Linked DNA regions of Macaca mulatta. The protein of the gene in region 2 binds, or shares a complex with, the protein of the main gene of each other region. Links are inferred from orthologs where the notes say so. Each region holds a gene or a part of one and is shown on either strand. Other genes may lie near its edges.

The links.
Region 1: RBM48 (region 2) and CRIPT share a complex: the UniProt entries of both Homo sapiens proteins name them as parts of the minor spliceosome. The link is inferred for Macaca mulatta from reciprocal best matches to the Homo sapiens genes RBM48 and CRIPT.
Region 3: RBM48 (region 2) and CRNKL1 share a complex: the UniProt entries of both Homo sapiens proteins name them as parts of the minor spliceosome. The link is inferred for Macaca mulatta from reciprocal best matches to the Homo sapiens genes RBM48 and CRNKL1.
Region 4: RBM48 (region 2) and CWC27 share a complex: the UniProt entries of both Homo sapiens proteins name them as parts of the minor spliceosome. The link is inferred for Macaca mulatta from reciprocal best matches to the Homo sapiens genes RBM48 and CWC27.
Region 5: RBM48 (region 2) and CWC22 share a complex: the UniProt entries of both Homo sapiens proteins name them as parts of the minor spliceosome. The link is inferred for Macaca mulatta from reciprocal best matches to the Homo sapiens genes RBM48 and CWC22.
Region 6: RBM48 (region 2) and BUD13 share a complex: the UniProt entries of both Homo sapiens proteins name them as parts of the minor spliceosome. The link is inferred for Macaca mulatta from reciprocal best matches to the Homo sapiens genes RBM48 and BUD13.
Region 7: RBM48 (region 2) and SNRPD3 share a complex: the UniProt entries of both Homo sapiens proteins name them as parts of the minor spliceosome. The link is inferred for Macaca mulatta from reciprocal best matches to the Homo sapiens genes RBM48 and SNRPD3.

What each region holds. Positions count from the first base shown.
Region 1 is NC_133418.1:78,216,525-78,220,670, forward strand, and holds the start of CRIPT (cysteine-rich PDZ-binding protein), read right to left. Parts: upstream 2,801-4,146; 5' UTR 2,723-2,800; coding exon 2,707-2,722; intron 1,240-2,706; coding exon 1,174-1,239; intron 381-1,173; coding exon 326-380; intron 1-325. UniProt on the Homo sapiens protein: As a component of the minor spliceosome, involved in the splicing of U12-type introns in pre-mRNAs. Involved in the cytoskeletal anchoring of DLG4 in excitatory synapses.
Region 2 is NC_133408.1:126,862,844-126,867,107, forward strand, and holds the start of RBM48 (RNA-binding protein 48), read right to left. Parts: upstream 2,801-4,264; 5' UTR 2,771-2,800; coding exon 2,660-2,770; intron 2,107-2,659; coding exon 1,916-2,106; intron 1-1,915. Other genes in the region: peroxisomal ATPase PEX1, read left to right, coding at 3,150-3,278. UniProt on the Homo sapiens protein: As a component of the minor spliceosome, involved in the splicing of U12-type introns in pre-mRNAs.
Region 3 is NC_133415.1:63,975,942-63,979,441, reverse strand, and holds part of CRNKL1 (crooked neck-like protein 1), read right to left. Parts: intron 3,177-3,500; coding exon 3,085-3,176; intron 2,260-3,084; coding exon 2,101-2,259; intron 1,696-2,100; coding exon 1,529-1,695; intron 1-1,528. UniProt on the Homo sapiens protein: Involved in pre-mRNA splicing process. As a component of the minor spliceosome, involved in the splicing of U12-type introns in pre-mRNAs.
Region 4 is NC_133411.1:72,852,601-72,856,100, reverse strand, and holds part of CWC27 (spliceosome-associated protein CWC27 homolog), read right to left. Parts: intron 3,176-3,500; coding exon 3,096-3,175; intron 2,145-3,095; coding exon 2,111-2,144; intron 1-2,110. UniProt on the Homo sapiens protein: As part of the spliceosome, plays a role in pre-mRNA splicing. Probable inactive PPIase with no peptidyl-prolyl cis-trans isomerase activity. As a component of the minor spliceosome, involved in the splicing of U12-type introns in pre-mRNAs.
Region 5 is NC_133417.1:84,939,753-84,944,049, reverse strand, and holds the start of CWC22 (pre-mRNA-splicing factor CWC22 homolog), read left to right. Parts: upstream 1-1,497; 5' UTR 1,498-1,537; intron 1,538-4,297. UniProt on the Homo sapiens protein: Required for pre-mRNA splicing as component of the spliceosome. As a component of the minor spliceosome, involved in the splicing of U12-type introns in pre-mRNAs. Promotes exon-junction complex (EJC) assembly.
Region 6 is NC_133419.1:117,431,531-117,435,030, forward strand, and holds part of BUD13 (BUD13 homolog), read right to left. Parts: intron 3,333-3,500; coding exon 3,227-3,332; intron 2,578-3,226; coding exon 2,439-2,577; intron 2,117-2,438; coding exon 1,932-2,116; intron 1,381-1,931; coding exon 1,299-1,380; intron 1-1,298. UniProt on the Homo sapiens protein: Involved in pre-mRNA splicing as component of the activated spliceosome. As a component of the minor spliceosome, involved in the splicing of U12-type introns in pre-mRNAs.
Region 7 is NC_133415.1:28,770,555-28,774,663, forward strand, and holds the start of SNRPD3 (small nuclear ribonucleoprotein Sm D3), read right to left. Parts: upstream 2,801-4,109; 5' UTR 2,783-2,800; coding exon 2,657-2,782; intron 1-2,656. UniProt on the Homo sapiens protein: Plays a role in pre-mRNA splicing as a core component of the spliceosomal U1, U2, U4 and U5 small nuclear ribonucleoproteins (snRNPs), the building blocks of the spliceosome.

The DNA.
Region 1 (4,146 bases), on a different chromosome or scaffold from region 2:
AGGTTTGACTCCAAAGCTTACCATCTTTCCACATTTCCCTGCTGTCTCTGATTCATAGGATAATTAAGAAGGAGATAAAATACAAGTCATGTTTTCTGGTGAAACTGTAAGAGAATAACACTAATATCTTCATATATTGATACAGCCAAGGAGGAATAAGGTAAAACCAGCAGGATTGTAACAGATAGCTTGGTTCTGAGTGCTATGAACCACCTACCTTTATGTTTTATTGCAAATGGAATGATGCACATCAAATTCACTCCAGCAGACTTAATACTAAAAGAAAGGAAATTTATATGATCTGTCTATGGATGCTCTTACCCACCTTGCTTTTTTTGAAGTCAAAGCTTTATTTTCATTCAGCTTTCTCCCACCACTTTCTGTATCAGAATAAAAGATATTTTAGTGGGTTATTTCTATACATTTAACATAAAACATTAAGAAGTTCATTCTTTGACTTTCTACCAAAATAGTAGTCTGTATCTAATTTTTAAATCCTCATTTAGTAGGCTATTAAGACACTGCTTAAAAAGAAAACATTTATTAGGGAAACAGTAAAAATTTGTATAAAATACAATCATTTTATTTCTCAGACTCAAGGGAGTACTTTAGGAATGGGTCTATATTTACTCTATATAGTGTAAAATCTAGAAGCCACTACTTCAGTGTCATAGACCTTCAATATAATGAAAATGTTTATTTGTCTACGCTTTGAAAACATACTTTACTATATGTATTTAATAATAATGAAGGTAAATACTTCATTATAAAGATTTAATGATAATGAAGGTAAAATGGGTTAAAGCATTTATTTATTCAAGAATATAAAAATCAGAAGATTTAAAAAAATTTCTCCTCAGAAGAGTGGGGAAATTAAAAACAGACTCTAAATAAGCTGAATCAAATCAAATACTGTGATAATCAAATACTGTGATATTGTCACCACTTGACAATCATTTAATAATTTTGCTATCTCCTGATATTGGGAACCCATACAAGTAACTGAGAACTAAATAAAAGATATTAAATCACTTGGGGACCCAGTATTCTTTAACATTTAATAGATAAAATACTTTGAACATACAACATTTCATTGTACAAATAATGTAAAAGCTAAAATATAATTCACAGTAAGTATTTGGTTAAATTCCTATTTTCTAAAAGAAGAAATACCTGTGGTATTCCTAGCACCATCTTTCCATGTATCTGGAGTGATAACAGTACCAAGTTTCTTTTCACCTGTTAGAACAAGATAGTAAAAGGAAAATTAAAATTTACTATTTCATAAGTGCATTACATTGTGCCTAAGGCTCACAATGGTATCGACTATCAATGCTATTACCATAGGAGCCTGTTAATGCTGAGAAAGCAGCCAGTCAACTGAGACTCATATTAACTGTGGGCAATGAATGACTGACCGTCGGTAAAATTCGCAGGATAATAAGATGGCTTATAATAAGCTTTCACTGTTTGTTTATACTTTTAAAAAATCCAATAAGTCTATTTGTTCCATAAATATTTACTAAGCATCTATGATGTATAAACTATACAAAGTGCTGAGAAAAAGTGATGAATCAGACAAAATTTTAATGAGATTATAGTATACTAATTTCTTTAACAGCAATCTGTAACCTGGGTTCCCCAGGTGGATCTTAAGAGATATGTGAACAAGGTGGAGTTGTACACAAACCTTTTATATTTTCAGTTTTTTTTCCTGGCAAGAGGCTACAGTTTTCATCAGATTCTCAGAGGGATCAGAGACCGTCCCCCCAAAAAGAACCATTCAAACAAAATGTAAGCTAAAAAATAAAAGATATAATAATTGAGAACTAAAGTACTGGGAGAAATTCCAGGCAGGAAAAAATAACCCTGGCTAAGGAAATCCAAGAAAACAAAGTTTGGAGAGAAGGCAAGAGAGAGGATTTGAATATGTGGCAACAGGACTGTGAACAAAAAGGAGTAAAGAGGATGAACGCAAACTAGATAAAGGACACATTCTGAGGAAAGGCATAGAAAGCTTAGAGTACACATGGGCACAAAGAGTATTTTGTTTGGTCAAAGTGTGAAGAGGATGAGGGTCAGTGAAAATGAAGCTGGAAAAATAAGTTGGCGCCTTAGTGTGGAGGGTACTGAACGTCAGGTTCCAAATATAGAATCCCCAAATTATTCTCTGCACACTGAGAGTTTATTAAAGGATTTAAATTAGGGAAATAATAATTTGCACTTACGTTGATGTTCAATTCAAACATCTCTGGGTTTACTCTACGCCATATCCTGGCATAATGACTAATGAGAATGAATAAGGCAAAGTCCTAAGTCTTTGGTTCCAGTGTTTAACATTTGGCAGGAGTACAATACTTGTTACACGAATAAAAAGGAAAGGACAGGAATTGCCAAGAGGGAAAGGTGTCGCTGGGGTTTAACTGAACATTTTTATATGGGAGGGGAGCCGATGAGATCTGGGGCTGGGGGAAGGCAATGGAAATAGAGAGGGAGGTGCAGAACTGAGACCATTCTGAGTACAAAATACATAGGACTGTATGGTCGTTGGGGAGGTGCAAAAATGGTCAAAGGGTAGGGTAGAAAGACAGCGGCTAGAATCAGAGACCTGTGGGCGAAAAAAACAAAGAGAAGGCAAAGTTCCCGGGAGGGCTCAGTTAGATTATCCCAGCCTCCTCCTCCCGCAGAAGCAGCCCCTTAACTCACATTTTTCGCACACCATCCTTCCCCACGACAGTTCCCCTAGCCGCAACAGGAGCAGCAGGAGCCTGAAAACATCAACACTGTAACTGGGAAGTATTCCCCTTCCGGGCTACGTCAATCCACTTCCGGCTTCTAAGCCCACCGCTCCCGCCTACCCCAAACCTGGAAAGCCGCGGGAGGAATGAACGCGAGCGGCTAGGTGGGGCTGCCCCATTTGCCCGCCCCTCCCTTTCTGCGACTGGCTGTTCGGCCGTGGGTGTCCGCCCCACAACCCTGCGTCTGCGCGTGGGCCTGGGCCTCCTGTCGTACCTGATGGTGGGAGGCAGTAGTTCCCCGCTTCCCTTCCGCGGGCGGGAAAGTTAGGTAAGCCCCGCTGGACTTCCCAGGCGCTCTCGCCTCCCGGGGTGCAAGCCACCCCCGCGAATTGCCGAAGCAGCCCTGAGCCTCGGCGCCCCGGCCCGCCCGCTCTCGCCGTCAGCTCGAGCGCCACTCTTCCGGCGTGCCCTGATGGACAGACCCCCTTTCGGATCCGAGTTTTTGCCTCTGTCCCCCAGTTTTTCTTTGTCTCCAACTCCCGAGCTCTTTGATCCTGCTTCTCAGCTGGTTCCTCGCTGCCCACGCTCGCGCCGGCCTAGGGTCGGGCAGAATTCCCAGCGACCAGGGTTGGGGTGGAGCTGCCGGTGGAGGTGCGGCGATGCCCGTGAAGGCTCCTCTGGGGGCCGCTCTGAAGAGCCTTCTCTCCGCTGCGGTGCCTGGGGAGGTGGGCCGCGTCATGCCCGTGGCACCCCTGCAGGCGCCCTGGGGGCACGCCAGGGCCTAACACGGTGCTGGTTTCCCAGGAGAGTTGGTTTCCCACTTTGCCTACTTTGGTTCCTTCATTCACTCAGCAAACGGTTGAGTTTGGTAACTGCTCACTGTATTACATCCACATCTGATGGCAGCTGCGATTCCGAGGGTGGCTCAGAAAAATGGCTGAAGGGCTATCTGTTGAGAGAATGGATTCCTGATCCCCTTGCCCTCCCTCAATCAGCTTAAGAGAATCTATGGGAAAGTTTACCTTTGTCCCTTCTTGCCATCCGTTTGCTTCTTCATGCCTAGTGTATTTCCTTAGAGAGAGAGCTGTAGCGCGTGGGACCTTGGACCACCTCACCTGTTTGCCTTGTTTCCTTATCAGTAAAATATCTGCCTTTGAAAAGCACTGGGTGAATTAAATGAGAGCTATTAGGATAAGGCCCAGGTTCGCCCTTCTGCTTTTCGCACTAGCGGGCGCCCCTCCCGCGCGCGCGCCCACGTGTATGTGTGTGTGTGTGTGTGTGTATGTATAGTATTTTTTTTCTGAGATATTTCTATTTTCTGGAATATTCTCCATAGTGTAACATATTGACTGTTACTTTAAATTAATAAAGTCCTTGTTTAACAGTACAATTAACTCTCAGGTAATTT
Region 2 (4,264 bases):
CCTGAGAAAACCACACATGACCCAGTAAAATCAAGTGCTTTTGTGGTAGATTATGATTTCTACTGATAGCACATGAAAGAAAATATGAATTGTAACAGCCAGAGAAGGATGGGTCTCAGAGCAGATTAGTGAGGAGAACAGAGATCAACATAAAAATAGATAAGGCATTGCATACTTCAGCCTTTTTGGAGCAGAGGGTTTATGTCACATAGAAGGCCGGAAAACACTGAGTCAATTTGCAGAAAGGAGTAACAGTAGAAACCACAATAGCTAATGCTTACTGTATTCTGACCAGGAGGCACTCTGCTAAACCCTTTATATGGATTATCTCATTTCATCCTCATACAACCTCAAGAAGTAGATAGGTCCCTTTACCATATAGATTTTACGGAACAGGAAAAACTTAAACAGGTTAAATAACTTGTCCAAGATCACAAAGCTAGTAAGCAGTGGAAATGGAAAACTTACTCCAAACCCAACATTTTTTTTTCTTTTGAGACATAGTCTCACTCCATCACCCAAGATGGAGTGCAGTGGTCCATAAATGACTCACTGCAACCTCCACCTCCTGGGCTCAACTGATTCTCCCACCTCAGCCTCCCAAGTAGCTGGGACTACAGGAATGCACTACCACGCCCACCTTGATTTTTGTATTTTTAGCAGAGGTGAGGTTTTGCCATGTTGGCCAGTCGGGTCTCGAACTCCTGGGCTCAAGCTGTCTGCCCACCTTGGCCTTCCATAGTGCTGGGATCAAATTCAACTTTTTTTTCTTTTCTTTTCTTTTTTTCTGGGACAGTCTCACTCTTTCCAGGCTGGAGTGCAATGGCATGATCTTGGCTCACTGCAACCTCTACTTTCTGGGTTCAAGTGATCCTTGTGCCTCAGCCTCCCCAGGAGCTGGGATTAAAGGCTTGCACCAACACAGCTAATTTTTGTATTTAGTAGAGTCAGGGTTTCACCATGTTGGCCAGACTGGTCTTGAACTCCTGACCTCAGGTGATCCGCCTACCTCCACCTCCCAAACTGCTGGGATTACAGGTGTGAGCCACATGCCTGGCGCCAAACCCAAATTTTTTCTGTTTTTTTTTTTTTTTTTTGAGACAGAGCCTCGCTCTGTCATCCAGGCTGGAGTGCAGTGGTGTGATTTCTGCTCACTGCAATCTCCACCTCCCGGGTTCAAGCGATTCCCATGCCTCAGCCACCTGAGTAGCTGGGACTACGGGTCTGCACCACCACACCCAGCTAATTTTTGTATTTTTAGTAGAGCCGGGGTTTCCATCATGTTGGCCAGGCTGGTCTTGAACCCCTGACCTCAAGTGATCTGCCTGCCTCGGTCTCCCAAAGTACTCTGATTACAGGCGTGAGGCGTGAGTTATTGGCGCCCAGCCCTCAAACCCATTTTTTTTTTCTTTGAGGCGGAGATCCCCTCTTGTTGCCCTGGCTGGAGTGCAATGGCGCAATCTCGGCTCACTGCAACCTCTGCCTCCTGGGTTCAAGCAATTCTCCTGCCTCAGCCTCCTGAGTAGCTGGGATTACAGGTATGCGCCACTAGACCCGGCTAATTTTGTATTTTTAGTAGAGACGGGGTTTCACCATGTTGGCCAGGCTGGTCTCAAACTCCTCACCTCGTGATCCGCCTGCCTCGGCCTCCCAGAGTGCTGTGATTGCAGGCGTAAGCCACCGTGCCTGGCCAAACCCAACTTTTACTCTACCACGCTACAGGACATTAAATTGTTAAGCATGGGATGTGATGGATACAGTGTTTCAGTAAAGTTAACCTGTAAAAAGGCTGTAGGAAGATATGCTAGATTACATTTTGGGGTAATTCAGATATGAATGAGGGAAACTTGGGGCCAAAATGACAGAAATATGAATGGAGGAAATGAAACGAGTCATTGCTTAACTTGCACCTTACCTTGCACTTTGTAAGTTCATAAATTTAATAAGATAAACTTCAGTAAAGTCTTCTGCTGGGTATTCATCTAGCGCATTGTACTGTTCAATTGCACCATATAAAGCGAATCGCTCAACTAATTCCTTCATGACTCCCACAGCAGGAACTCCTTGTATTAATAAGTACTGAGATTCCAAATTGATTGTATATACCTGAAAGAAATGCATAGTTATTAAACGTATTTCGCAAATAAGCCTAGGACGAATCTGCCTCTATTTTTTTTTTTAAACAGAACTTTGAAAACAAGAAATAATCTGTTCAACCCAGTCAGCAAAAAACACAAAATAAAATTTCTGCCATTCCCTCTGCATAAAGAGTAACAGTCCATGTGAGAGGCTACCTAAGGCATATAACAGACTACCTTCAGTCGACATTTTTTTCCAGAAATTGAGTCGGCAGAAGTCACTGGGAACAATCACTCAACGAATATTCACTGAGCGCTTACCTGTGCCAAGTAGTACTGTAAACACTGAAGATCCAATGACTAAAACCAAGCCCTATTCTCGTGGAGTTGATGTTCTAATAGTTGACCAAAAGGGTCGTGAGAATCTTTGGTACCTGGCCCAGGGTTCTTCACGCCAGCTCTAATGAGCGACAGATCTGACGGAAGCCTTGTCGTGCCTTTATTTCCGTAGGTTAGCCATATGGCGCTAGCGCTCACAAAAAGCTACCGAGGAGAGCGAATGAAACCAAAAATCACTTTACCTTGACAGCACGAGGCCGTCGTCCCTCCCGATATTTGGCCCGCGTGTCGCACACCGCCCTCTGGACGTGGTGGTCAAATAAACTCCCTAACTCCCCACCGCTGGACGCCATCTTGCCTACTTTGATCCTCGCAGGGAGGACAACATCCGCCCTGCTGACCTCCCTTTTATCCAATAAGAGAGCGGGATGAGTTAAGGAGTGTCAGGATTGGCTGAAGAATCGACAGCGTCGGCCATCGTTTCCTGCGTGCGAGGATTTGATGAACGAGGTGCCGCCCCCGAGCGGCTTGGCGGAGAGGCGCGGTGGGTGACAGAAGCTTTCTTGTCCCACCCCACTACAGGCTTACGGCGAGACGCGCAGCGGGGAGAGGGGGCGGGGCCTCAGGGGGCGGGGCCGATCGATCTCCTCCGGTTCCGACGTCCTCGGCCTGCCAGGTCCCGTGTCCTTTGCGGCGCTAGGGTGGGCAAACCCAGAGCGACGCTTCGGGACGATGTGGGGCAGCGATCGCCTGGCGGGTGCTGGGGGAGGCGGGGCGGCAGTGACTGTGGCCTTCACCAACGCTCGCGACTGCTTCCTCCACCTGCCGCGGGGTCTCGTGGCCCAGCTGCACCTGCTGCAGGTAACGTGCTGGCCCCGGGCCACCTGATCTTCAGCCTGGGGTCGGACAAGGCCGAAGCCTCTCAGGGACGCGGCGGGACACCGGCTGCCACCCGGGCGCCCCCGAAGCGTACAGAGATTAGGGTCCCTCGACGGCAGGGCCCTTCTGGTTAGTCTCTGCATCCCGCAAGTCCAGTGCAGCCCTGGGCTCGTCTTATCCCAGGTCTTTTCACTTGGTGAAACTGGGCCTAGAAATGTCCTAATATTCTACCACTGTTTTTATAAATATTCCTCATTCCAGGCTGGAAAAGTTCCTGATAAGTGGTTTGTTTTTGTTATTTTAAAAGGTGCTTTTCTTGCCAGTCATTTCCAGTTACCTGCGCTGCTGCCGTCCGGGCCGCGAGAGGGAGGCGCAGAGTTGTTGGTGGAGCCCCTGTCGGTCCCCGGGGACTGAGCACCGCGTCCCATGAGCGGGAAAGCTTAATACAGTAATGGTTCTGCCCTGCGTCCCAGACCCTCGGAACACAGCTGTAGTGTGTCAGGAACACATAACGTAGTTAAGATCACTTGAAGCTCTGCGATCAGTCGCCCTTCTGGACGTTGTGGTTGGGATGTTTCGCAGTTCTAACCACCGGTGGAGATACAGCGTCCTTATTTTCGTAATTAAAAATAGAGGCACATGGTCTCACGAGTTTGAGTGTGGTTATGGGGGCAAAAGGACGGCGTATTTGAAATCTTCATAAATCCTGGATGCATGGTACCCACCAGTGGCTAATCTATGTAATGAATAAAGAGTTTGCAATAATTTCAAGCATCCCTTCTTTCCACTTGAGTTACTTCTCCATACCTAGGGGAAGATTTTTTTGGTCCATTGAAAACATGAGTTCAGCAGAATCCTCCTATCATCGTCGTTATTATTTTTTACTACTAAGTAGACAATCTTGGTTTTTGATGGGCTTTATGGTTAGAGACAAATCAGTCACTGTCACCAAGTTCCAGGTAGAAGTT
Region 3 (3,500 bases), on a different chromosome or scaffold from region 2:
CTCAGCTCCCTCATCTGTAGGATGGAGAAGTTCCTACACTGCAAGGTTGTTATGAGGATTAAACCACAATATTTGTAAAGTACTTAGAATAATGCCTGGCACATAGCAAGTACTATAAAAGCTTTTGTCAAACTAATAATATTAAAATTACTAGACATAATTAAGATCTTAACACTGTCACCTAAAGAGAGAAGAGTAAAAAAATAAAAAGATCTTAATACTGCATTGTAAAGTTGATTCTCATTATTTGTGGTAGTTATGTTCTATGTAGTCACTGCAAACACTTAATTATTGAGTATTGAACCACTGTGCCTAGGGGAAACATGTATATATACAATCTCACATTCATGATCATCTTAAATCCTAAAAAGAACTCATCCTAGCAGATTCTATCTTCATTATTTTGTAAGAAAAGTGATTCAGAAATGTTAAGCGATTGGACTGAGGCTGCCCCACTGACAGATTCAAACTCCCCAACTGGCCCCAGGGCCGGAGCTCCTTGCACTACATGGCACTGGCCCTTCCTGTCTCCAAGCTCTGGGCATGGTTATACGAGGTTAAGACCAGAAGGCAGAGCCTCGCCTTGCTGGACTTCATGCTGTGTGCATGTCCACAAATGACTGTGAAAGTGCCACAATTACTGATTTTTGGGGTTACAAATAAATTTTAGCAAATATGTGATTTTGCAAATATGGAATCTGTGAATAATGAGGAATGACTGTACTTCAGTTTCAAAAGTGCTTTCATGTGTATCATTTAATCTTCACAACAGCCCAACAAAGGTGTTTTTATTCTTGTTTTTAAGAAGAGGACACGAAGACTCAAAGGAGTTAAATGACTCACTGGAGCCACACAGCCAATAAACAGTAAACCTTTGATGAACTCCAGTAACGGTAGTAATGACCAACACCAACCTTAGAAAAACAGGACTGGCAAGGGCAGCCAGAACCTTAGTACAGTTAGTCCTCCAGCCATGGGTTCCATATCTGTAGATTCAACCAACCCGAGATAAAGTATTCATGAGAAAAAAGTGCTTCTATACTGAACATGTAGTTTTTTTGGTTATTATACCTTAAAATACACAGAATAACAATTATTTACATAACATTCACATTACATTAGGTATAAGTAATCTAGAGATTATTTCAATTATATGGGGGGCTATGCATACGTTACATGCAAATACTACATCATTTTATATCAGGGACTTAAGCATCACCGATTTTGGCATCTCCTTGATGTCCTGGAAACAATCTCCCAGGAATATCATTTTCCATGAGGAAACATTAGTTTTCAGCACTACAATAAAATAAACCCAAACTCTCACTAGAAAAGACTAATTACCCAGATCACAAATTTTCATTCTGACCAATCTCTTTCCCTACAAAACATAGGGAAGCTGATAAACTGGCATTCTTGACTTCTAGTCTGATGTCAATGACTGTGTGTCCTGACCATGAGACACCTCTACAGGAGCAGCAGCACCCAGGACAATCATGGCACCACTCAGTTCTCGTCCAAAGGATATATCGCTCATAAATGGTGCGGGCCCGATCCACCTCTTTGTATCTCAGTTCAAAGTTGATGTAGGAGTGCCAGGCTTGCTCCTCAGGCTGCCACTCCATCCAGCGCTCAAACACCTGCCGGGCACCGGCAATGTTTCCCAACATTTCCTCCATGTATGTGTACTTGTACCTTTAACAAAATCACCCGAAAATATCTGCTGTGGTTTAGTTCTCCCATTGTTGAATGGGAGGAAGATTTAAGATTTTATCTTTCTTAAAGGTTAAATCGAACATGTTTTGTTATTGAAATATAAATCTGAAAAAGGGTGAACCATTGGAAAAAAAGATTTTTTATTAAAAGTTGCCTAGTTCAACAAGAAGCTTATGAACAAAAGATTGCAACCAAAATTTTAGTTTTGATTACATAGCTGTAGAACATCACAATTATGACTTAACAGACTATGGGACATTAAAAAGCATTTATGTTTAAAGAAAAAGTAGGATGTAAAATTAAACTATCATCATGTAAATAAAATAAATACAGAAAATGTGGAACTTTTCTAGGCTACAAAAGGCTGTTTTATCAGAAACTTACCAGAACTGATTGACTCGAGGCAGCGTTGTTATGGCCCGGTCCCAGATATTTCGAGCATGGTTGACTTGGCGATTCTTCATCTCCATTTCTGCATATTTCAGCCAGAGTGTAATATTTCGATAGTCTACATCTAAAGCACGCTCGTATATGGATCGAGCCCTTAAGAAGCAAGATTTGCAGGGCATCAAAAGTAGTGCACACAACACATGCAGCGGTTATTTCACACTATCTGGAATGCCCTGATGTTTTATTAGGTGTCTACCACGAGCCAGGTTCTGGGCATAAGATGATGAAAAGATATAATGCTCTCAAGTACCTTACAAAGTCTTATAGAAAGACATGCATGCAATTATAATGCAATGTGATTTATGTTATAGTCAAGATCTGCACAGGAAGCAGAGAGGAAGAAATGAAAATGTCTGGTGGAAAAGGCTAAGTAGTAGGTAACTCTAGAAACAAGAACTCGAGGCAAGTTCCAATTTACCAGGAAACTAAGGTTGGTGTGGAGGGGGTGCTCATTCCAGGCGAGGAGAACAGCCAAGCCTCACAATAAGGAGACATGATATATTCAGGGAGTGGCACGTACACAGGCGCAGCGGGGGAAGGAGGTATGAGGGGAGAATGCAGAAAGCGAGACAACAGGAAGGGCCAGATTGCAATTTTTATTTTTTTGGCCATTGGTTTTCAGCTAAACATTAAAAAAAAAAAAAATCTCAATATATAGAAAGCAGATGAAATTGTGCTACTTTAGCTACAGCTGACAAGATCAATCTGTAAAGTGTCTCCCGCCCCGCCCTCCGGGACTATTCTACCCCAGTGCTCCTGAGGCCCTCAAGGGAACCCTAGGGTTTCATGGAACCATAGTTGACAATTTCTACCCGAGGCACAATCTTTTATCTGTGCTTTAACTTTTTCTTCTTTTCTTTTTGGTATCTGTTAACCTATGAATCATTATACACAAAACTACACTTTCAGCAATTTTACCTCTGAATCTCCTTTAGGCTTTCTTCCCATTGTGCGTATTTTATCCAGTTACTAATTACAGTCCTGTTTTTTCTTATGTTATCTTCAAAAGTCTGGAAGAAGGCAAAAAGGGTCAAGTCAAAGGGCAAATGACTAAAAATGACAGCACCCTTGGTCTATTTTAAGTCTTGTACTAAACTGGTTATTCATTTCGTTCATATTTAAGAGAAATTACATCCTGGAATCCTTGAGGAATAAGAAATCCACTACAGAAGGTTACAATCAACTAACTGATACTTTAAAATAGTCTATGCTTGTCCCTAATAAAAAATATTTTGACTATTACCCGTAAGTCCTCTGGTAACGTTCAGAATTTCATATATAACAGAATTCATGCTTTAAAACAGTCCCACATTCTAGAGTGAAGAGGTCAAATC
Region 4 (3,500 bases), on a different chromosome or scaffold from region 2:
ACTCCATGAGGGCTAAAATTCTGGCCTGTTTTGCTTACTGTTGTATCTTCAACTCCTAGAATGGTACCCAGCATTAACAGAGGGAGGAATGAAGGGAAGAAAGAGGGGAGAGAAGAAGGAAGAAATAACCCCAAGTAGATCATTTTTATTTCGTGATTCTTTCTTTGATCTGGTGAGTCGTAGTGAAAGCAGGATTCTTAATTTGAGACTTGTGGACCCCTAAAGCAGTGGTCCTCAAAGTCTGGTCTTTAGATGGTATTACATAGTTGTTTATTAACACCTGAAATTCTAGTCCTCATTGCAGACTTATTGAACCAAAATCTCTGGGGGCAGAAATTATGAATGTTTTCAACAAGATGTTTAAGCACTAAAAGTTGACAACCACCAACCTAGGCCTTCCATGCTCAGGCCTCAGGAGATCTGAAAAAAATTCCCGGCAAATTCATATAATTTTGGTTGTGAATGTAGGATATTTTCCTGGGAAAGGATCTACAGTTTTAGTCACCCACCCATGATATTAAGAGCAAATTTATACTTTTACATTCTATCCTATACATTGATCCTATCTTCTAGACCCATATTATGTTACACAGATGTCTCCAAATTACTTCAATCTTGAAATGTATAAAATTAAGCTCATTACTTTTCATCCTTCTCTCCATCTCAACCCTATGCTTTCTTTTGTACCCATCTAACAAGTTGCCCAAACCAGAGACCTTGTGGTTGTCTTGGACTACTCCTCCCTCACCTCATAGTATGGAATCAGTCACCTCCTAGACCTCTTTCAAATCTACCTCTTTCCCATCTCACAGCTGTGGTCTTATATCAAGCTCTCCTCCTGCAATAGCTTCCCAGTGGCTGTCCTTGACATCAGTCTGTTTCCTCTAATTTGTCCTCTATAATATCACCAACGGTGATCTTCCTGAAATGCAAAATTGATCACAGCATCCTTCTTTTTAACAAACACCCTTCAACTGTTCCTCACTTCCTTTTGAGAAAAAATTCAAACTCCTCACCACGGCCTATGAAGCTCTGTAATGAAGCTCTGGCCTGTCACCACATCCTGTTCACGTTGGCCTGCTTGCAGCTCTTAGAACACACCAAACTCTCCTGCTTCGGACTATTTTGTATATGCAGTTCCCCTTACCTTCAATAATCTTCTTCCTTGCTCTTCACAAGACAGACTCCTTGAAACTTTAAATCTCTGTTTGTATTTCCTAAATAAGGTATAATCTCTCCTTATTTCCATGCTTTAGTATATGCTGTTCTCTGAGCTAGAGGGACCCTACCCTTCACCACTTTCTTTTCTGACTTATCTAACTCCTAACTCTCATGTAAGACATAAACACCATCATCTCTTCCAGGAAGGTTTTCTTGACAAGGTCAGATATTCATCCTCTCTCTATCTCCTACTGATAGCCAGAGAGAGCCTTCTCTTTTGACTGTGATAATAGATAAATCTGTGTTCATGCATGGAAAGTTATGTACTTCCTAGTAAATTATATAATGCACAGATTAATGGATTTTTATATACAAAGTGGCATATGTATAATTTGCAAAACTTGACTCTTATGTATTAAAGGAAAATCTTCCTTCTGTTTTGTTAGCTTTATTACCCAACACAACTAACAAAGATCACTACAGTCTTGAATGAGAATCTTTTGAAATGTGTATATAAAAAGGGGACACTACTATAAATGACTGATCAAAGCATTTCCCATGTATCATGTAGGATGCCCACACACCAACACTTAAACTTTTAACACAATAAAATTATAACATCTCAAGTTTGAGTATTAATGTAATGTTATGTGAAGGGGAGAAAAAAACAGACTAGAAATTCATATATAAGATTCTAATGTTGTAGAGAGATATATAAACACACTCACGCACACCCCTAGAGTAAGGAAATATTCTAATACCTAAATGGATAATTTCTATTTTTCATATTTTTCCAAAATTTGACATATATAACTATAAAAGTTATACATTATACTATACTATAAAAAGTAATGCACATTACTTTTTAAGAACAAAATTAAGTCTTTGTAAAAATTTTGTACTTTCTATGAATTGTTCAAACTATATTTATACCAAAATAAATACTTACATCATCTAAATCTCCCGCTGCATCACCTTTTTCACTATAAAAAAATAAGCAAAACAAATTTTAGTTTCAAGGTAAAACTAATACAATTATTTTGTAAACCAAAAATCTAGAATAGTTTGCTGGGAATAACATTCCAAAAATGTATTTCAACATAGGAATTTAAGAAGGGCATTATAGAACAGATGGAAACACTCTTTATAAGTGGAACAAGTATGATTCATTAGCAAATATATGCGTTCACTAGAATTTGAAAGAAAAAAAGCAAACAACAACCAACAGTGCTATTTTTATGAACAATGGTCTGCAAAGAACAATTTCTTCTATTGGCTTGAAGTATTCTCGCTAAAAAACCCCAAATCCTTCAAATAAAAGGATATTAAGAAAAGATTGTCCTAAAACAGGAGTTTCAAAAATGAGCTAAACTGAGTACAACAGCATTGTAGTGCCCCTTGAGATAATGGCCCAGTTTATCTTGTGCAATCACATCTAACACCAAGACATCTTCCCTTCTCAAAGAGAAGAACAAAGGTAGCAAGACAACTTTCTGTTAACTCCTCAAAGTATGTGAGAATTTACAGTCAGCGGACTGGCCCCCACACTGGTAATTTCTTCACAAAAACCTTCAACTTGAATTTGTTCATTCATGATACAATTAAGGCAAACATGCTTCAAGAAAAACAGCAAAACAACCTTGAATTAAACATTAAACTGTTAAAGCAAACAGTTTCCAGTCCTAACACGTAATGGTAAAACAATCTTAAATGTAACTTACTCAACAGAGGTAGAGAGCAAGTGCAAAAGTGACTAGAGTGTTTCTCTCTATCAAGCTTGAAGTTCTCTATCTCTGTTATCAAAATGCGTTATTTTTTTGGTTGGTTTTGAAATTTTTGATTTATGAGTACTGACTGTTTACTCACAGAGGAAGCAAGAAAATTATCTGACCCAGAAAATTAAGAACTTAGGATCACACCAACAATGGACTAACCTTTCTACAACTGGAACAGAACTGAGATGTGGATCATCCTTAAGCAAGTCATGACTACTTTTGCTTTTGCCCTTCATGCTCTGGAAAGAATGTACAATATAATCATGAGGGGGGAAATAAACAGTATTCCTAAATGACGAGTTAACAAATTTACATAAAACCTAGCAATGATATAATATGGTTAGCAAAAGACGTATCCCTGAAAGGTTCAATACAAACTAAAGTTTTATAAGTAAGAATCTTACTCTTCTATTGACTGAAAATAGTATTTTAAAAACATCTTTTCTTTAAAAAATATCATTAAAAAGAAGTCTGCTGAATTACCAACTTGAAGCACTAAATTCTCATCATAATTTGTATGCAATGAAACTAGTTCATTTTTATGACCCCTATAACTTAGAAGCT
Region 5 (4,297 bases), on a different chromosome or scaffold from region 2:
GTTTCGCCTTTTCACGTTTTTCTGCCCGCTTTATATTCGCTGGTACCTGATTAGATTGTTCCCACCAGATTGAGGGTGGGTCTGTCTTCCCCAGTCCACTGACTCAACTGTTTGACAACAAACAGTTGTCAACAGTTTGGCAACACCCTCACAGACACACCCAGGATCAATACTTTGCATCCTTCAATCCAATCAAGTTGATATTCAGAATTAACCATCACAGATAGTATTGTGGGTTTTTAAATATATAAATACAAATGTTCATCTCCAGATCCATCTCCTGTGCCCTGTATTGGTACACCAAAGTGCACCATCAACAATGGCCAAATATCTTAAATATGAAATAAAATAGATAACACTATTGTATACTAGCAATTATCTTAAACGTATCTTGTGAATCAACTAATTCAATTCTTACAACTACTGCATGAATGGGTACTACTAGTATTTCCATTTAACAGATCAGGAAACGGCCACAGAATGTGAAGTTACTTGCCCCAATCATCCATAAATAATCAAAGGACTCAAGATTCAAACGTAAGTAGTCCAACTGCAGTGTTTTTATTCTTAATTCTCACACTTTGCCTCCAGAAAGGAGTGGAAGCACAGCACCCTAAAACTGTAATAGAGAAGTGTGTGGAGAAATCAGGCCTGGTTTATGAAAGATTTGATAACATAAAGATATTCTTGTTTTAGAAAGAGAGTTTCCAAAATAGTAAGTAGTTGAACTTTTACGTTTTGTTACTAGTGAAAAGTGAAGTTTAAAGAAACAATTTGTTTGATGCCCTAGTTCTGTATGCTGTACAAACTGCTACTTCCTACTCAGCCAGGCAATCTCCTTATTCTCAGGTCATACCAGTTGGTACCTTAACTTAAAAGACAGGCAACATAGTCTCTACAGAATTATTTTTTCCTCATTATTTCACTCTATTTATGATCTAATATTCTCCCATTCTCTTGGCTTGGATGTCTTGGAATTTATTAGGCACTTGACTCTTGGTCAAACTCTTATAAAAAAAAGTCTCAAGAAAATCTCTCACTTAAGATTTTCAAGGAAAGTGACAACTGACTACTAAAAAAAAAAAAAAATTCCCAAAATGCAGTGAAATACTTTTAGATTAAAGTAAATTTGCCTAGACCCTAAACACTGCTAGGCTGCCAGTCAGCAGCGTGGATGTTAACTCGCTGGCGCGCATCTGTATGAACTACAATTCCCATCGTACACCGCGCCATTTCACCGCTAAACTACAATTATGCTTTCGTCATTTCCGTCAGCACAGGTGCTGGATTTCGGACTTTGTAGTTCATGCCAACTTCTTTTTAGTCGCCATTTTGATAAGAATACAGTGTGCCTGGATCGACTGCTTTGACTCTGGCATTATGATATGGTATCTGAAATAAATTAAAAGGATAACGCGTCAAGCCAATTGAGCGTCAAGTTTTTATGTATTTCAGTATCTGCCTTGTTCCTACTGTCGGTGCTCGGGAAGAGGAAGTGACGTACATCCGGTGTAATGGCGGCGCGGTGCAGCTTTAGGTAATTATCGAACTCCGCGGAGTCCCCGTAGGCACCGAAGCGGAGCGGGGGTGGCGGGTTGCCGGGTTGGGTGGGAAGTGAAAGACCCTGAGGAGTGGGTGCGGGCTCACTGATACGGCTGTGAGCGGCATTGGAGTGTGCGTGGGTCTTCCCGCCACGCTCGGGCCCGCGAGAGGGGTGTGAGAGTGGCTGGGTCCGAGGAGTCCAAGCGGGTGGGGAGCGAATGGGCTGCGGTGAACTGACTGACTGCCTGAGCGGACCGGCTGACCTTCCTTGTGAGGTTCCTGCAGCTGTCTGAAGTCCTGCACCAACGCTGGTGCTCTGTTGTTTCGTGTGCAGTGTGTTTTATACTTAGAGCCTCTGGAGTCCATTGGGCTTGCCAAAGCCCCTTTCCCAGTGCCTGGGGAGTGGGATTAATGAGCTCTAGTTGATTAAAAGTTAGTTGAAGTACTTGCACTCTTATGCCTCTTTCCGGCGTTATATCCCTTTGGCTATTTGTTTTACGTTTCATTAGCGGTTTCTTTTTCATTTATTTGCCCTGTAAATACTGATAGTTTCTGGAGTTTAGTTTTGAAGACGCTTCGCTTCTCTTGTGTCCTCTTCACCTGTCATTCTTGATCCTTACATAACTTGAACTATCTCCAATGAGGTAATAACTGCTAAACTTGGGTGTCCAGACTCCACCTCTCTAAGGAGCTTTGGGTCCTGTAACACAGCATTATAGAACGGAAATATAATCGTTAATTTCACTGAGTTTAACTGCAAAAACTACCATACCTATTTCCACTTAATCCTAACAATTCTTTTGAGGTAATTGGAGAAGGCAGGATTTGGAGAAAGGCTATTCTAGATGCAAGAATTAGGTAAGAGTTTCCTTTGCATTTTTGGATGTGCAGAGACTCGAAATAGCAGATAAACAAATTGGGTCCTCAGCAGATCAGTTATCCTACCTCTTATCCGTATTTAGACTTATCTTCTTGTAGGATTGCTTGTGAATTCAGGAGTTAACACAGATTATCCTACTATGCAAGGGCAGATTTAAAATTGACATTAAAAGTGTGGTTTTGACCAGGAGAGGAGAAGCCTTGTTACAGGCCTTATCAGTAGGTTGAGGAAAGCTACTTTTGTTGGTCCTGGGTGATGGACTAGTAGACCAAAGATTTCAGTTTTATTTAGCTATTATTAGGTCTGTCACTTGGAGCAAGTTAAAGTCTCTATTATATATAGTCAGCTTCATCATCTGAAAACATGTAGGTAATAATACAATACCTGCCTCACTGTGTTGTCTTTTTTTGAGTATAAAGAAAATAATGCAGATGAGGCACTGAGCACAGTGCCTGATATACAGTGTTAGCTTTGTATTATTGTAAATTGCTACTATGATACAGTTGATGAGTTCTGTCTGTGCCTCAGTTCTTGCCCTCTGGGTCTGAGTGTTGCCTTTCCACCTTTAAGTGTCCTTCCAGGTTTTTTTTTTTTTTTTTGAGACGGAGTCTCACTCTGTCGCCCAGGCTGGAGTGCAGTGGCGGATCTTGGCTCGCTGCAAGCTCCGCCTTTCGAGTTCACACCATTCTCCTGCCTCAGGCTCCCGAGTAGCTGGGACTACAGGCGCCAGCCACTACGCCCTGCTAATTTTTTTTATTTTTAGTAGAGACGGGGTTTCACCATGTTAGCCAGGATGGTGTCTATCTCCTGACCTCGTGATCCACCCACCTCAGCCTCCCAAAGTGCTGGGATTACAGGGTGAGCCGCTGCGCTCGGCCAGTGCCCTTCTAGTTTTAAGTGTCCATGCCACTTTTATGGAGTCTTACCCAACTCAATTGACTGGGGCTCTGAGACCGTCTTGGTTATAAGTTAAAGGCCAAGAACTTTGATCTAATACCCTGGTCTAGTGGTTCCAAAAATGTGGTCTCCTGAATCAGCAACATCTCTTTGAAGCTTATTAGCAATGTAAATTACTGGGCTTCACCCAGTTCTGTTGAATCAGAAACGTAGAAATGCAGGCCCAACAGTTTTTTTTTTTTTTTTTTTTTTTTTTTTTTTTTTTTGCGCCAAAGCATTCGAGTGATTCTCATGCCAGTTAGTTTGAAAACTTCTGCTCTAGCCCATCTTTTAGGGGCATGCTATGGTTCATCCTCCCCCTGTCCTCAGAATCAGGTTTGTTTCCCTCCTTGCTCCAAAGTACTTGATCCATGGCCAGCCAGTATTTATTATTATGCCACCACATCCTTCCCTGCTTTGGATAGATTACCTCCAATCACTTTTTGGAGTTCTGACACTTCCTAGACTACCTGGTTTTTCTAAGCGAGCTTTCTTAGCTCTATTAGCTTTCCCAGCTGTTGAATTTTTAGAAGTTAATTCTTCTGTTGGGGCGCGATGGCTCATGCCTGCATTCCCAGCACTTTGGGAGGCCACGGCAGGCGGATCACTTGAGATCAGCAGTTCGAGACCAGCCTGGCCAACATGGTGAAACCCTGTCTCTACTAAAAATACAAAAATATGTAGCAGGGTGTGGTGCTGTGCATTTGTAGCCCCAGCTACTCGGGTGGCTGAGGCAGGAGAATCACTTGAACCTGGAGGCGGAGGTTGCGGTGAGCCGAGATCACTCCACTGCACTCCAGCTTGGGTGATAAAGTGAGCCTCTGTCTCAAGAAAAAGAAGAAGAAAAAGAAAAGAAGTTAACTCTCCTTCCCCATGATTGAACATTGTTGAATGACCTACAGTGGCTTGTACCTGAGACCACCCAGAAGACAGCACGGT
Region 6 (3,500 bases), on a different chromosome or scaffold from region 2:
AATCCACATCAACAAAAGCTTTCTGAGGTCATCAGTAATTTTTAAGAGTGTAGGCCAGGCATGGTGGCTCAAGCCTGTAATCCCAGCACTTTGGGAAGTTGAGGCAGACGATCATATGAGCCCAGGAATTGAAGACCAGCCTGGCCAACGTGGCAAAAACCCCGTCTCTACTAAAAATACAAAAATTAGCTGGGTATGGTGATGCACACCTGTAATCCCAACTACTCAGGCCGCAGAAGCATGAGAATTGCTTGAACCCGGGAAGTGGAGATCGCACCACTGCACTCCAGCCTGGGCAACAGAGCAAGACTCTGCCTCAACAACAACAAAAAACAAGAGTGGTTGTGCATGGTGGCTCACCTGTAATCCTGTAATCCTGTAAACCTGGAATCCCAGTACTCTGGGAGGCCAAGGTGGACGTATCACCTAAGGTCAGGAGTTCGAGACCAGCCTGGCAACATAGTGAAAACCTGTCTCTACTAAAGATATAAAAAATAGCTGGGCATGGCAGCACGCGCCTGTAATCCCAACTACTCGGGAGGCTGGGGCAGGAGAATCGCTCGAACCCGGGAGGCAGAGGTTGCAGTGAGCTGAGATTGCGCCACTGCATTCCAGCCCAGGCAACAGGGCGAGACTCCATCTCAAAAAAAAAAAAAAAAGAGTGTAAAAGGATCCTGAAATTAAAAAGTTTGAGAATTATTGTGCTAGATACTAAAACAATGTCCTTTAGTAGGCAAGAGGAGATAGAATCTAATACGTAAGTACACGAACTGACTCTGGATGGAAGCAAATATAGTTCATCCATCATAACAGACAGGAAGTTAGAGCATGTGGGTACAGATGCTGGTAGGTAGACAGATGAGGTGGTAGAGGACCGTGAGACATTAAAAGTGACTGCCTCCTAAGACCGTAAAGTGAAGAAAGATTCAGAGGCTACATTTTAAAGACATATCACATAGAAGGCTCCAGACTACGACTCATCACTCGACCCCTCTAAACCTTAGAAAATATCATTAAAAGTAACCAATGTCCAAAACAAAGGGTGTCTTATCTGAACCACCTGAGTTGTTTGTACAGAGCTTTAAAAAGTGTTATGAAAAGGAAACAGAAAGAGGAGTGTTCCAAGCATGAAAAATAGGATTTGTGGACCTCAGAAATAGAAGCAAGCAAAGTGCATATTTTTCACCTTGTGATTAAAGCAGAGAATGAAATAAAGTGTGGAGCAACTTACGAGTGGTTAGGGAAGGTTACAGTCAGGTAGAAGAGAAAATAAAAACCTAAGAAATACCCAGGCTTACCTGTCCACTCCATCCCAGCGATATCCGGGCCAGATATTAAATCTGTTGGGAGGAGGTGCTGGACCACTGTAGCGAGGTCTCACTAAAGAGAGGAGTAAGAAAAAAGTATTTAGTTAACGACATAATTTAATTCAGAGCTGGATGGCAATGTGGGAATTTTTTATTATTATTATTATTTTTTTAATAGAGTCTCACTCTGTTGCCCAGGCTGGAGTACAGTGGCACAATCTCGGCTTACTGCAACCTCTGCCTCCTGGGTTCAAGCGATTCTCGTACCTTAGCCTCCTAAGTAGCTGGGATTACAAGCGTGCACCACCACGTCCAGCTAATTTTTTTTTGTATTTTTAGTAGAGATGGGGTTTCACAATGGCCAGGCTGGTCTCCAACTCCTGACCTCAGGTGATTCACCCACCTCAGCCTCCCAAAGTGCTGGGATTACAAGCATGAGCCACCGTGCCTGGCCCGGAAAAATTTTCACATAGAAAGACCAGTTGAGTTGAATCTAAACTCACAAATACAATGAATTTAAATTATTTGGGAAATCCTTCCTTGCATACAGCTATGTATCAGAATCCTAATGATTCTCTCTCTTCACAAGTCACCTCCAGCTCTGATGATTCCCAGAAGTCCCACCTTTTTTATTCTTGTTCTCCTTGGCCTTATTCTTCTTGATGAAGTCGGCCATGGGGTCCCCCTCTCTTTCTTGTTCTCTTAGCATCCTATCCAGATCTTCGTCATCAATATAGCGGGCCAGAGGCTTTTGCATCTCTTTCACTGCATCCTCCACATTTTGTTGCTGTTGCCGGCTCTGGGCAAGCCTGGGCAAAAAAGAACCAAGAGTGTTTGCTATCCTGTATGACATTTCCACTTCTACACAAGATGGACCATACTGCTAAATTTGGAGACTCTCCTCTTTCTAGTAGTACCCTAGGGCAAATACTGAGCAGGGTAAAATTCCCAGAATATCCACTGGAAGTGTGGAATATATCAATATCCTAGGAAGAAGATTCAGCACACCAAATTTCCCATTACTGATAACAGCTCTGAAGGCATAATAAGAAAGTGAGTGATCAAGAAGAGCAGAGAAATGACTTGTTCCAGTCACTGCCATCTTGTTTACCCTTTCAGTGGTTCCCTTACCCTTTTCCCCACTGGGCATACAGCTCATCTCTCTCTGAGTCCTTTTCTGCTTTCCTCCTTTGCTCTAAACGTTCCAGTTTCAAATTCCTCTTACGACCAGACTTATCTCGAAATACGGTTTCAGCATATTGAAATTCAGCTGCAAAGGAAAATTATACTCAAATATCAGGATCAAAATCAGAAATAACATTCTAAGAGATCAAATCAACCACTTGGGATTCTAATGCTGGATAAGAACTTCTGCAGCCAGACCAAAGTAGTTCCTACCAACATCTAGGTGCATATTGGCACTGGGCCCGAGAAATGGCATTTTTCTTTTTTTTTTTTTTTGATATGGAGTCTCGCTCTGTTGCCAAGGCTGGAGTGCAGTGGCGCGATCTTGGCTCACCGCAACCTCCATCTCCCGGGTTCAAGCGATTCTCCTGTCTCAGCTTCCTGAGTAGCTGGGATTACAGGCATGCAACACCACGTCTGGCTAGTTTTTTTCTATTTTTAGTAGAGACGGGGTTTCATCATGTTAGCCAGGCTGGTCTCGAACTACAGACCTCAGCTGATCCACCCGCCTCGGACTACCAAATTGCTGGAATTACAATGAGTCACCACGCCTGGGCGAAATGGCATTTTTCAAGAAGGAAAGAAACACTGGGACTCACTGAGAAATTACAACCATGCATAAAACCAGAGCTGAAATTTGATAGCAATTAAAAGTTTAAAATACCAGGTACAATAAGCTAAATTTAAAAAAAAAAAATGAGCCTGGATTGGTCTCTGCACTTTCATATTTTTACCTTCAAATGCCATGGTTTCTTGATCCTGTTTCTTGAGCTCCTGCTGTTCTCGCTGTATGTCAGTTAACACCAACCCAGTTTTAGCCCCAGAATACATGTGTGCAGCCTATGCAATGGAAAAGGGAGCATCCAACATTAATGAGATGATGTGGCAGTAGGCTCCACGGGTACACAGTTAGTTGCATTTGTGTCTGATGACCAGCAATAATTAAACCTCAAACTCTAGCTTTATATTCTCATTAATTACCATAGGATTCAAAAACTATAAAAGAAA
Region 7 (4,109 bases), on a different chromosome or scaffold from region 2:
AAAAAAAAAAAAAAAAAAAAAAGGCAAGCCGGGCATGGTGGCTCACATCTGTAGTCCCAGCACTTTGGGAGGCTGAGACAAGTGGACCACAAGGTCAGGAGTTCGAGACCAGCCTGGCCAATATGGTGAAACCCGTCTCTACTAAAAATACAAAAATTAGCTGACATGGTGGCAGGTGCCTGTAGTCTCAGCTACTTGGGAGGCTGAGGCAGGAGAATCGCTTGAACCTGGAAGGCGGAGGTTGCAGTGAGCCAAGATCGCGCCACTGCACTCCAGCCTGGGCGACAGAGCAAGGCTCCATCTCAAAAAAAAAAAAAAAAAACTTTATTAAAAAAAAAACTTTATGTTAAGAAAAGTCATTAGAGTGGGCCCTATTTCTACATGCCTGGTATCCTTATAAGAAGAGATCTAGACAGAAACACTACAGAGTGAAGACCAAGTGAAGACACAGGGAGAAGAGAGTCATCTATAAGTAAGGAGAGAGGCCTGGAACAGATCCTTCCTTCACATCCCTCAGAAGAAATCAGCCTTGCCAACACCTTGATCTCAGACTTCCAGCCTTCAGATCTAGGAGAAAACAAATTTGTGTTGTCTAAGCTGCCCAATCTGTGAAACTTTGTTATTGGCAGCACTAGCATACAAATACAAGCAGGGAGGCAGGTGGCTGCCCCCCCACCATTGGTCAGGCATGTGACATGCATCTACTCATTTCTTCTGCACTATGGTTCCTTCTGAAGCCAAGGAGCTATTTTTATCCCTGACTTAGAAGAGGGACCAGAGGACGAAGGAGGTCCAAAGCTCACCCCAAGTCACCCTAGGTGGCAGGCTGCAAGCTGATTCCAGGTCTGTCTGACTCCAAGTTCTGTGCACTTTGTGTCACGTGGACTGCATCTCTGAATGGCCACCGAGGTTATCTGGTTAGACACCTTCATGTTATGGATGGGATGACAAAGGCCCTGGAAACCCAGCAGGTTGTCCAAATACATATAGCTAGATGACAAACCCATTAAGATTCACTAACCCAAGTCCTGCATTCTCCTCACCAAATTAAAGTACCTTAAAGTGGATGAGCATGCCTTAAGCCAGAGGTCTGGATATATGAAAGAGAGATGATAAACCTATCTACTGTCAATAGATAAACTGATCTATTGACAATGATGCAATAAACCTGAGTCACCAGAGGTCTACTTCTCTGCATCCAGGGAACTGACCAAGCTTGTCAACCTCGCAGGAAGATGATAGACGCTCAAAGCTACAGAAAAATCACAAATAAATGAATGGCGCAAACCAATAGATGGTCAGGATACCTGACCGTGGTGTAAGACGCTTTACCTCTCTGACCTTCTCATCTGGAAAAAAGCAGTAAACACCATACGTTGAACACTTACAGTATGTGAGGCACCGAGCAGCTATTGCACACATATAGCTCATCTGATCTTTGTAAAAGTCCTGGGGGTGTGGATATTATCCCTGTGGCAGTCTTAAGGGTGTGCTGCTCAGATCTCCCTCCAAAAGAAAACAGGCTATGAGGAGTGAAGGCAGCCGACAATCTCCATCTTTGCAGTCCACCATGGCATTCAACTTGGGGAGAGAGACTGTCTCCCCAGGCTGCCAGCCAATGGAATGAACACACCAGGGGTGCCAGTCTGCCCATTTCTGCCCCATGTTAGATTCTTCTAATGAGCAATCACTGCCTTGCTGAGACTTCCTCAAAACTACACTGTAGTCTAAGGTTCTTCCTGCTCAATCCTCCTTCTTTCCCCTCTCGTTTCACCAGTCAGACCAGCATCACGGACTGAAAATTTCCCTGCCTACTACTGTTTCCTTGTTCCTTTATCCTTTATTGTCATTTCCCCCAATAAATACCTTGCATAATTCTGTCTTGGCATCTACATCAAAGAACCCAAAATAATAACACTCCCGTTTTACAGATGAGAAAACTGAGTGATTAATACATCTAAGGTCATATAATTAGGAATCAAACCCACATCTCTCTCTGACTCCCAAGTCCAAGTTCTTAACCAATGGTTTAAAGAACAAAGAAAGTGTGAAGATACAACTGAAAAACAATGCTATAAAAATTCAGATGACTATGCAAAAGGCAAAGCTGCGCCATGAGAAGGACACCGTATCAAGAAACTACTCCATTATTTACTATCAGAGTGATGAGTCCTTTAATCTCATTCTCCCTATTTTATGGATGACAAGACTACCACCAAACCTGCTTACCTCACAAGGTAGTTGCAATAATCAAATGAGACTCCTCCTCCAAGAGAAAAGGGAAACAAACACAGTATGTGAGAAGATTCTCCTAACTGCAAAGCAAGTGGAGGCAAATGGATAATGGCTCTGAACCTGAAGGATTCTACTGAAGGAACTTCTCCCAAACAGGTCCCCAAATTTGGGGATGGAAAAAACAAAAAAGGCGAAGTAAAATATTCCAAATCTCCAAATGGCTTTTCTGCCTCAAGACTATGTGTTTTGTTCATGCCCACATCCCCAGAGCCTATAACAGCACCTGACTGGTATGTGTTAGGCACTCAGGAAATCACTGCTGAATGAGAACAATTTACAGAAGACCCCCAACCCACACCTTTCTGTCCTTCAAGACACAGGGCCATTCCTCCCACACAGCCTCACATGCAAAGCAGAATACCTGGCAGTTCATGTTGTCCTCTGCTTCAATGAGCTTCCCCCGATATACCTCACCGGTGTTCGTCTCACATGTCACAATGTGGCCCTCGGCCTCGTGCAGCACTTTAATTGGCACACCAATAGACATCTTGGCAGGAAGAGAGCTCTACAGTGAAAGAGACAACAGTCAGTTCATCTTTCAGAGTCTGAGAAGGCATGCGGCACACGTCATGCCTCCTTCAAGGCCTGGCACTCCATAAAACTTAGCAAAAACGCCAAAGCTGCATTTTCTATCAAAGAAAAAGAAAAAAGAAAGCTCAGCTCCTGGCTTGGAGGAAACTATCTGGCAAATATGTGCAAGATGTCGGGTGAGGAGGAATGGTGGGGTGGACAGAAGTAAAAACAGGAATGAAAAGAGAGCATCTCCCATCGACCATGTGTCCCTGCTACCCTATGTCCCTTAATCTTCAGCTAAAGGACCATTAGCGAATACTGTGTGTGTAGGGGAGGGGGATTGGAATGTTAATCTGTTGCACTGTTATTTGTCAACCCTTAATTGTAGATTATTACATTTTGACAATCATAACACAGGCCTGAGCTGTCCAATACAGTAGCTCATGTCCACATGTAGCTATTTAAATTAAACTTAACTAAAACACAATAGAATTAAAATAAAAAACCCAGTCCCTCAATCCCAGTGGCCATATTCCAAGTGCTCAACAGCTACATGTAGCTGGTGGCTACCCTACGGAAGGAGCAGATACAGACCTAAGGACCATGCATATCTAGGAGAGGAGACTGTACTTTTAATGCAGCTCTTTAACCCTTCCCTTACTTTACCATCAAGGATATTGAGAAAATATCAAAGTGACAACGTGCTATATGCAGGAAATGCCCGTCATGGAGGAAAATAAGGGAAAGCACCTGACTTGACCTAATTAAAAGCATCAAGTAGTGAACTTTTTATTGACATGAGCGACGACTCAAAGTTGGAACCTAAGTGCACCTAAGACAGGAGAACATGAGGTTGAAAAGACAGGCTCCTTTGGTGAGGATCCCTGGCTTTCAGCCTTAGGAGCCTAGATTTTATGCTGAAGATAGTGGGGAACCACTGCAAAATTATAGGTAAAGAATGACACAATGAAAAGGTAGCAGCATTTATTTACAAAATGGATCTAACGTAAGGTTTAGAAGCAGAGAAACTTGTTAAAATTTCTGCAACAGTTAAAACTGCTGCAACAGTGTGGAAAGCATGACGGGACCACTGCCTGAAAGGGAGCTGGGGGCAGAGATGCAAAGAACTTTTTAAAAAATGACCGGCTGGGCGCGATGGCTCACGCCCGTAGTCCCAACACTTTTGAAGGACGAAGCCGGTGGATCCCTTGAGCCCAGGAGTTCGAGACCAGCCAGGGTAACATGGTGAAACCGTCTCTACTTTAAAAAAAAAAAAAAAAAAAAAAACCCTCATAGGATTT